3 linked regions of the Mus musculus genome follow. The protein of the gene in region 1 interacts with the protein of each later gene in a biochemical or structural test. Links are inferred from orthologs where the notes say so. Each region holds a gene or a part of one and is shown in the gene's direction. Other genes may lie near its edges. The genes, in order: H3f4, Taf3 and Cbx1.

Region 1 (2,716 bases):
ATTTCAAGCCCTGTGTGTGTCGCCGATGTCTCACAGGGTCGTACATTCCCAGAGGCAAGAGTTTCGGTTCTTTCTGAACGTGAAGCTATTTTCCCTGTCACTGTATCCATAAGCTGGCACTAGAGAGTGGCGCGGGCCGGGACGTCCCGGTTCCTGGGCACCACCAATGGACGACCCACGTCCTCCGGTTGGCGTAGCGCCTACCCGCGACCGCACACCGCAGGCACGGGCTCGGGATTCCCCGCTTTGGCGTTCACCGGCGTCAGTTTAAACTACACATACACGTTTGGAAGCAAAACACCATGATTGTCAGTGAGTTCTATTTTTTAACCAAATCCGTAAAGATGCACCACAGTTTGATTTCTATCCTTTTCTGGACTCACGTTTTTTGAAATTATGTGGACGACATTTCTCATCCTCTGACGTGATCTAAATAATCATTATTACTATTGTTTGATACCCTGATTGTGACCTTTGGGGGAATCCTTGAATACAGCCCATGTTATCCTTGAAAGCCTTTGCTTCAGAAATCCTTTTTTTTTTTTTTTTCCTAATTTTCTTTCAGATCTAAAGATGTTTTATTTTGTTTGATAAAGCGTCATTTCAGTGTACTCTAAGCCTCAAAATTATTATCCTTCTGATTCAGCTACCGAGTACTGAAGTTATAAGCATGGACTACTGTTCTTTGAGTCATATCTTCTAGTTTTTTTTTTTTTTTAATTAACGTACGTTAACTGTGCTTAGTAATGGGTTTCATTTTGATAACTTCACACACACACACACACACACACACACACACACACACACACACACACCAGCTCTCCCCTTTTTTTCCTCTTCCCTCTGGTCCCTTTCTCTCTATAAATACCACCCCGACCCCATTTTTATGCTTTTTTTTTTTTTTTTTTTTTAATCTAGCTTCCACATGCTAGAGAACCCATGCCATGCTTTTCTTCCTGCCTGGATCCAGCTTACTTAACACTGTGATCTTGAGTTCTTTCCATTGTTCCAGCAAACGACACAATTTCTTTTCGTTTTTCTCTTTATTTTTTTCCATCTCTACCCCTCCCTATTTTTAAAAAATAGTGTTAATACTATGTAGCCCTGGCTAACCTCAAACACACAGATATCCACCATCCTTTGCCTCCCGAGTCCTGGAATTAAGCTTAACTGCTGAGCTACCTCCAGCCCTCGCCCCCAGGGGCGTCCTCAGACCAGGTGGATGTTTTTTTAGTATTCCAGAACTCAGGAAAACTATGCCTCGTTGTTATATAAAGGAAGCATGCAGAAAGGTTCTAGAAGGTTCTTTGTGTCTTGGGAGTCGAGGCAAGATTGTTTTGTTTTTTTATTTAACAACAACAATAAAAGCTCCAAGAAAGCGACTTGAGTTTTTTCCACAGACCCCGCTGCCCTCCTACCGAGCCGCAACTAACAGTTCCAGAGTCCACACCACTCAGAGAGAATATAAGAGGCAGGGTGTAAAGTCAATCCCCCAATGGACCAATCAGAGTGCAGCATCCCATAATGCCACCTGGTGGGCAGCCAATAGGAATGTAGCTGGGTCTATAAAAGCAGTGCTACTCGCCCCCCACATTGTGCACCTGAGGAGCAAGGGAGGCGGACGATTCAGGAAGATGGCACGCACCAAGCAGACGGCACGGAAGTCGACGGGAGGCAAGGCTCCGCGCAAGCAGCTAGCCACGAAGGTGGCCCGCAAGAGCGCCCCGGCCACCGGGGGCGTGAAGAAGCCGCACCGCTACCACCCTGGCACGGTGGCGCTGCGCGAGATCCGGCGCTACCAGAAGTCCACCGAGCTGCTGATTCGCAAGTTGCCATTCCAGCGCTTGGTGCGTGAGATCGCCCAGGACTTCAAGACCGACCTGCGCTTCCAGAGCTCCGCGGTGATGGCGCTGCAGGAGGCCTGCGAGTCGTACCTCGTGGGGCTGTTCGAAGACACGAACCTGTGCGCTATCCACGCCAAGCGGGTGACCATCATGCCCAAAGACATCCAGTTGGCTCGGCGCATCCGCGGAGAACGGGCTTAGGCTCCCACAGGCACCGCTCATGAACCCAACGGCTCTTTTCAGAGCCACCCACAGAGTCAGAAAAAGTGTCTGTAACGTAGACTTAGGTGTCCTGTCTCCTCAGGAGGTGAAGACAAGGTGGCCGGCAATCGAAGTGTCTCCCCAGATCAGTCTAGAGGGCTTAGCAGCTAATCCTTGCCCATTGAGCTATTTGACTTGCAGCTCCGTCCTATTCTAACCTGCCTTCCCTTGATAGGTATAGTGGCCTGAGCCCTTGTACTACAAGATGATGGTTGTGTTGCTGACTGGTTTTACCAAGTGAAGGTAGCTCCTACCGGCAGTAAACGTGCTATGTTTGCATAGTTGATAGTATCCAAACGCATCTGCTCAGTAACCAAGTTACTTATGTTTTGTGTTTTAAGGCTCATAATGCCTGGTATTAAAAAGGCTAGCTATTCCTGTACTTGAAAAGTTGGCCTTTCTCCTGATGGAAAGCCCAGTGAACTGCCTTTGATTAAAGTTAATTTTGCCCATCTGTTAACGGCGGCAGCAAAAGAGTCAGGAAAGTGTTAACTTACATATTTCCAGGGGACACATCCAGAGAATCCTGTCTTAAACGATTCCTGTAGGGTACGAAAGTCTAGCTGTTGTCTTGACTCAACCTGAGTTGTAAGCAATAGGAACCTCTCTTA
Region 2 (3,654 bases), on another chromosome or scaffold:
TCCATGTTTCATTGTTCCCTTTATCTTTACATCGTTATTCCTCAGAATTCTGAATCCACGTTTCATATTTTACCCCACTCCTCAACCGTGGTTTCAGTATTAACAACAGCCTCTCATATCCCACTCTGGTTTTTGGAACTTCAGCATATTTTTGAGCTGCTCAGTCAACACCACTGGCTAAGTGTTGCTCAAGCTTTGTGTCTGGGATAGAGCTAAAAATCATCATTACTCTCCATTCGCCTTCCTGTTAACGACGGCCTTGGGCTTGTGTTAGACTCCAAGTCATATCTGAGCGTGTAGTGTCTGCTCACTGTCTAAAGAATGTCATCCACCTCTCCTGATTCCTGTCTGCTGCCATTTTCTAGTCTAGTCTCTTCACTCTTGCCTACACTGTGTTAGCCATACCCCTCATCTGTCCCTCCTTTTGGTGTCTGGCACCACCCACTCTGTCTACCATGTGTTTTGTTGAGGTAGTCTTGGGCATACTTGAGTGTAAAGTAGCAGAGTACAGAAGCCTCGTGACGTGGGTACAACCTTACTCAGCTTTCACTTATTCTGCCTTTCTCCTCCTCACATTCCAGACAAAGTATTCCTGTGTCTCAAGTCCTCCTTTTTACCACCTGAGCCTTTCATCCTGTACTCTGGCACTCCTGGCAATATTCTAATCACTGCATTATTCCTGAAGTCTCCCCCGTGGACAGCGACTCGTCCCCTTGTGCTTTGAACTCCTGGACAATTTGTCTGGGGTACCAGTTACCTTTCTGTGTGCCATACACACGCACTAGTGTAGGTCAGGAGTTGATTGTATAGTTCTTTCAGGCATTCTCATCATGCAGTATATGCTTACTGAATATGTACAGAACAGAAAGACAAGCTGGTCTTATAAGGACTAAGTCAAATAGGCAAGGCAAGTGTATCAGCTCCTTTTGAAAGGTCAGGAAACTTGCTCAAGGAGGTTCAGATTGCCTAAGGCCCATCATTCTGTAGGGCCAGACACTAACTAAACATAGTTTCAGATATCTGATCCAAGTTCCTCACACTGTACTATGCTGTCATTCCAGGGGTGGGTGGGGGTGGGGGTTGTACCTATAATCTGAATTGTGTACAGAGATTAAAATTTTTTGCACAAGTCTTTTTCATAAGACTAGGAAGATGTCTTAGTCAAGTAAAATGCTTGCCACAAAAGCATTTGGATCTGTATGTCCTCCACCATAACCCAGTCTCTCTCTTTTTTTTTTTTTTTTTTTTTTTTGGTTTTTCGAGGCAGGGTTTTTCTGTGTAGCCCTGGCTGTCCTGGAACTCACTTTGTAGACCAGGCTGGCCTCCAACTCAGAAATCCGCCTGCCTCTGCCTCCCAAGTGCTGGGATTAAAGGCATGTGCCACCATGTCCGGCATAACCCAGTCTCCTTAGATGGGTAAGATCCAGTTTCAGTGAGGGAGCCGATCTCAGCAAGCAACAGACAGACATCGGTGTCAGCCTCTGGCTTCTACACACATAAGCGTCTTTTAAAAGTGTGCCTTTCATTTCCGAGATTAGCGGTCATGAACACTGCTGTGTTTCTGAGGCCATGTGAGTGTTGGAAGGAGCGAGAGGAGCACAGAATAGGAGGTCACACTGGTCCTCTGTGTGGCCGTTTGTGAAAGGATGAAGAGCCTAGGCTGGGAAGACCTGGGAGGGCTCGTTGCTTTGTGTTCTGAACTTTGTTTCTCCCTTCCAAGAAGTGATGTTTGAAGACTAGGTTCTGTTTGTTGTATCCATTCTAATAGTGCCCTTTTCACCCTTTGCAGAGGAGGAAGAGGAACAGGTGCCCACTGATGGGGGCACCTCAGCAGAAGCCATGCAGGTGCCCTTGGAAGAAGATGATGAGATGGAGGAGGAGGAAGTCATCAATGATGAGAACTTCTTGGGTAAGAGGCCACTGGACAGTCCTGAAGTGGAAGAAATGCCCTCCATGAAGCGCCCACGACTCCTGAGCACTAAAGGGGACTCCCTAGATGTTGTGTTGTTAGAAGCACGAGAACCCCTCAGCTCTATAAACCCACAGAAGACCCCACCAGTGCTCTCTCCTGTGCGTGTCCAGGACAGGGCTGATCTGGCCCCTCCATCACCACAGCCTCCCATGCTGGCTCCATTTGCAAAGTCACAACTACCAATTGCAAAGCCGTTAGAAACAAAGTCGTTTACACCAAAAACAAAGACTAAAGCTAGCTCTCCAGGTCAGAAAACTAAGTCACCCAAGGCTGCCCTATCACCAGCAAGGCTTGGAAGTCCTATTCGGTCACCAAAAACCATCCCAAAAGAAAAGAAGTCACCTGGACGCTCCAAGAGCCCCAAGAGTCCTAAGAGCCCCAAGATTGTAGCTCATGTTCCCCAAACCCCTGTCAGACCTGAAACACCAAATAGGACCCCTTCAGCCATGGTGGTTGAAAAAACTGTTAAAGAGACCATCCCAGTGATGAAACCAACACAGACTCCCCCAGAAGTTGTGAAACTGAACATTGAAATGCAGCCGAAAAAGCCTGTGGTGACAGACAAAACCATCGATGACTCCATCGATGCTGTGATCGCACGTGCCTGTGCAGAGCGGGAGCCAGACCCTTTCGAGTTTTCTTCCGGATCGGAATCGGAAGGAGACACTTTTACAAGTCCTAAGAGGATTTCAGGCTCAGAGTGCGCCACTCCAAAAGCCTCCACTTCCTCCAATAACTTCACCAAGTCCCTGGCCACTCCTCTGCCTCTCTCCAGCGGAACCTCAAGTTCAGATAACTCGTGGACAATGGATGCCTCTATTGATGAGGTGGTACGGAAGGCAAAGCTGGGAGCCCCTTCCAACATGCCTCCCACCTTCCCATATATCTCTTCTCCCTCAATTTCTCCTCCCACTCCTGAGCCTCTACACAAGGGGTATGAGGAGAAAGCCAAGCTGCCTTCGTCTGTGGATGTAAAGAAAAAGTTGAAAAAAGAACTGAAGACTAAGTTGAAAAAGAAAGAAAAGCAGCGAGACAGAGAGAGGGAGAGAGAGAGAAACAAAGAAAGAAGCAAAGAGAAAGATAAAATGAGAGAGAGGGAGAAGGAGAAGGAGGCTGGAAAGGAACTTAAGTACCCGTGGAGGGAGCTGATGAAAGACGAAGATTCTGATCCCTATAAGTTTAAAATCAAAGAATTTGAAGACATTGATGCTGCGAAAGTGCGATTGAAAGATGGGATCGTGAGGAGAGAGCGAGAGAAACATAAGGACAAGAAGAAAGATCGAGAAAGAAGCAAGCGGGAGAAAGATAAGCGAGAAAGGGAAAGGCTTAAAGAAAAAAACAGAGAAGACAAGATAAAGGCCCCTCCAACACAGCTGGTGTTGCCCCCAAAAGAAATGGCACTGCCTTTGTTCAGCCCTTCAGCAGTGAGGGTCCCGGCCATGCTGCCGGCCTTCTCACCAATGCTCCCAGAAAAACTGTTTGAGGAAAAAGAGAAGCCCAAGGAGAAAGAAAGGAAAAAGGACAAAAAGGAGAAGAAGAAGAAGAAAGAGAAGGAGAAAGAAAAGGAGAAGAAAGAGAGGGAGAGGGAGAAGGAGAGAAGGGAGAGAGAGAAGAGAGAGAAGGAGAAGGAGAAGCACAAACATGAGAAGGTAAGCTGGGTGTCATTTTCACAGTCTGAACAA
Region 3 (3,654 bases), about 38 Mb from region 1:
ACAGAAGTATAAATACATGGTGGTACATGGGTGAGGGTCTGTCTGGAGTTGGTTCTCTCCTGCCACCTCTGGGATCTGAAGGTGGAATGCAGGTCTCTTCTGTATAACTGGCCCTGGGAAAGTTGGTGAGGAAATCAGTGTTCTTTCTTTTTTTTAAGAATTTTAAAAAATATTTATTTATTTATTATATGTGAGTACACTGTAGCTGTCTTTAGACACTCCAGAAGAGGGTGTCAGATCTCATTACAGGTCGTTGTGAGTCACCATGTGGTTGCTGGGAATTGAACTCGGGACCTTTGCACACACCTTTAATCCCAGCACTCGGGAGACAGGGGCAGGTGGATTTCTGAGTTTGAGGCCAGCCTGGTCTACAGAGTGAGTTCCAGGACAGCCAGGACATTACAGAGAAACCCTGTCTCGAAAAAAACCAAAAAAAAAAATAATAATAACAACAATAATAATAATAAAACTAAAGATCTGATATGGCTGTTTTGACTTTTTTTAAAGATTTGTTTGTTTATTTATTTATTTATTATATGTAAGTACACTGTAGCTGACTTCAGACACACCAGAAGAGGGCATCAGATCTCATTACGGGTGGTTGTAAGCCAATATGTGGTTGCTGGGATTTGAACTTTGGACCTTTGGAAGAACAGATGGGTGCTCTAACCCACTGAGCCATCTCTCCAGCCCCTGTTTTGACTTATTTAGTATCTTAAGTAACTTACTGTTGAGGCAGTTGTGACCATCTCTTGCTTGCCTTTCATGCATATTGCACGAAATGTGTTGAGTTATTTAGCCCTACATAAACTGGGTGTGACATTCTATAATCCTAGCACTCAGAGGTAGAAACAGGAGGATCTGAAGCTCATGGTCATCCTCTGCTATAGTTTGAGTTCCTGGTCAGCCTGGGGTACATGAGACCATCAGGCTCAGCCAAGCCCATGACCCACATGGTGCTGACTTCCATAAATTATCTCCTGATGTCCTTGACTCAATATACACATAGTAAAAGAATGTTTTAAGTTTGAGCCATGAATTTATGACTGTGTTCGAGAATAGCGGAGTGGAAAATAAAGGATTTTTTTTTTTTAAAGTTGGACATGGTAGCACACATCTGTAATCTCAGTACTTGAAAGGTAGAAACCAGATCAGAAGTTCAGTCAGCCTGGGCTATCTTTATGAGACCCTCTCTCCAAAAAGAAAGTTAGATAATAAAATATATATAACTGTGATTCAACATAGTATTTTAGGTACTATAGTTTATGGCAAGTGGTATTAGGAATTATTAGTATAAAAGTTGTAAATGGATATATTCAGAACCCCACCCCCCAGGTTTCTCTGTATATCTCCGGCTGTACTGGAACTGACTTTTGTAGACCAGGCTGGCCTCGAACTCAAAAATCCACCTGTCTCTCCTCCCAAGTGCTGGGATTAAATGTATATATCACCACTGCCTGGTCAGAAATTGTTCCCACACATTGTAGTATACACCTATAATTCCATCACTAAGAAAGCTGAGGACAGCTTGTCCAAAGGGAAAGAACAGAATAGACAATCATTCGCTATGAGATTAGTAATTGTGGCTTACCCCTAGCAAACATTACCATCATGGTTGTGAATTGGAGTTGAGCAGAGCATTGGATGCAGCATATGTCACCTGTGATTTCCCTGGGCTCCTCACCATCCAGATACTTACTTATCCAGCCAGGAAATGTGCCTGATGCCCTTTTTATTTCCTTTAATTGTTTAGCAGTGTCACCCTTCACACCAGAAAGCTGGCGGGTACTATGGGGAAAAAGCAAAACAAGAAGAAAGTGGAGGAGGTACTAGAAGAAGAGGAAGAGGAATATGTGGTGGAAAAAGTTCTTGATCGGCGAGTTGTCAAGGGCAAGGTGGAATATCTTCTAAAGTGGAAGGGTTTCTCAGAGTAAGTTTCATTGACACAGGTAAATTCGGTCACTATGAAAAATCATATATGCTTACTAGCAGTTCTGTGATGGGCATAACCTTGTTTCAGTACTGACCTCCACAGCTGATAGGACCTACATGCAGAGTATTATATGACTGAGTTTTTTGTCTTGTTTTAATATATTGGAGGAGGGGTGCCATGTAAATCCTGGGATGGAAGCCAGGTCTTCAGGCATGGCAAATGGCTCCTTTTCCCATTTAGGCATCCTGCCAGCCTAAGACATGGTTTCTGAGGATCAATTTGTATAGGATTGTCCACTTTTGCAAAATAGTTTTTCCTTGAAGAATGCAAGTTTCTAAGCCTTTGGTCTCTACCTTCCCCTACTAGGAAAGTCTAGCGATTGGTTATCATTTATCTCTCTTCCAAGACTAGCTCTTTCCTTAATATAAAGATGTTGATCTGAATGGAAAGTATAACTTGCTGTGCTTGCTGGTTTCAGTGAGGACAACACTTGGGAGCCAGAAGAGAATCTGGATTGCCCTGACCTTATTGCTGAGTTTCTACAGTCACAGAAAACAGCTCATGAGACAGATAAGTCAGAGGGAGGCAAGCGCAAAGCTGATTCTGATTCTGAAGATAAAGGAGAGGAAAGCAAACCAAAGAAGAAGAAAGAAGAGGTAAAGCTAGAACTAGTAATCTTCACTAGCCAGAGGCAGAGAATTCTAGCAGTTTGTTTCTACCTCCTCTTTCCTGTCTTCACCTTCTTTTTTTTTTTTTTATTTATTTTTTATTATTTTAGATAAGGTCTTGCATAGAAGCCTAGGCTGGCCTATAATTTTGTATCCCAAGTTTGCCTTAGACTTGTAGCAATTCTCCTTTCTTAGCCTTCTAAGTTTTGAGATAACAGGTCTAACTGTTGAGATTATGAGTACGAACTACCATACTGGACTTTCTTCCTTTGGATCTCAGAAGTCATGTCCTTTCTATCTGAAATAAGCTAATATTTTAAAGGGATTTTGGAGTCAACCTTGTACATAGCTGTAATCCTGGCATTTAGGAAGAAGAGGGAGGCAAGAGGATCAAGGATAAGAGACCTGAACTGCAGGAGACCTTGTCTCAGCAAAATATAACAAAACTAAAAAGGATTTGGGGCTTGCTCTTATACAGTGATCTTACTTTTCATCCATGGTGCAGAAATAACAACATGTAACGGTTATTGGAGACTTATCAGATTCATTTCCTGTCACTAGACAGTTTTTGGTGTTTTGATCATTAAATATTTGAGGTAGTCTCTCCCACTCTACAGTGTGAGTTCCAGGAGAGCCAGGACTACACACAGAAAAACTCTGTTTTAAAAATAAAATAAAAGCCGGGCGGTAGAGGCGTCCGCCTTTAATCCCAGTACTTGGGAGGCAGAGGCAGGCAGATTTCTGAGTTGGAGGCCAGCCTGGTCTACAAAAGTGAGTTCCAGGACAGCCAGGATATACAGAGAAACCCTGTCTCGAAAAAAAACAAAACAAAATAATAACAAAACTAAAGATTTGATATGGCTGTTTTGACTTACTTAGTATCTCAAGTAACTTACCGTTGAGGCAGTTGTGACCATCTCTTGCTTGGGGTGTATATCCTGTTGATGCTGGGAGGACCTCGGGTATCATGTACTTCAGACTTCTGGTACATGGTGTGGGAAGCAAAGGAAGCCCTGAGTGAATGTTGCATTACATCTCTTAAAAATAAATAAC

What was found.
Region 2: the proteins of H3f4 (region 1) and Taf3 form a complex in vitro, tested with the Homo sapiens proteins (2 studies listed by BioGRID, with this or other methods). The link is inferred for Mus musculus from reciprocal best matches to the Homo sapiens genes H3-4 and TAF3.
Region 3: the proteins of H3f4 (region 1) and Cbx1 interact in a test that uses a peptide from one of them, tested with the Homo sapiens proteins (3 studies listed by BioGRID). The link is inferred for Mus musculus from reciprocal best matches to the Homo sapiens genes H3-4 and CBX1.

Annotation. Positions count from the first base shown.
Region 1 is NC_000077.6:58,960,178-58,962,893, forward strand, and holds H3f4 (predicted gene 12260), read left to right. Parts: upstream 1-1,533; 5' UTR 1,534-1,634; coding exon 1,635-2,045; 3' UTR 2,046-2,096; downstream 2,097-2,716. UniProt on the Homo sapiens protein: Core component of nucleosome. Nucleosomes wrap and compact DNA into chromatin, limiting DNA accessibility to the cellular machineries which require DNA as a template.
Region 2 is NC_000068.7:9,951,081-9,954,734, reverse strand, and holds part of Taf3 (transcription initiation factor TFIID subunit 3), read left to right. Parts: intron 1-1,789; coding exon 1,790-3,621; intron 3,622-3,654. UniProt on the Homo sapiens protein: The TFIID basal transcription factor complex plays a major role in the initiation of RNA polymerase II (Pol II)-dependent transcription.
Region 3 is NC_000077.6:96,799,018-96,802,671, forward strand, and holds part of Cbx1 (chromobox protein homolog 1), read left to right. Parts: intron 1-1,753; 5' UTR 1,754-1,790; coding exon 1,791-1,930; intron 1,931-2,411; coding exon 2,412-2,589; intron 2,590-3,654. UniProt on the Homo sapiens protein: Component of heterochromatin. Recognizes and binds histone H3 tails methylated at 'Lys-9', leading to epigenetic repression. Interaction with lamin B receptor (LBR) can contribute to the association of the heterochromatin with the inner nuclear membrane.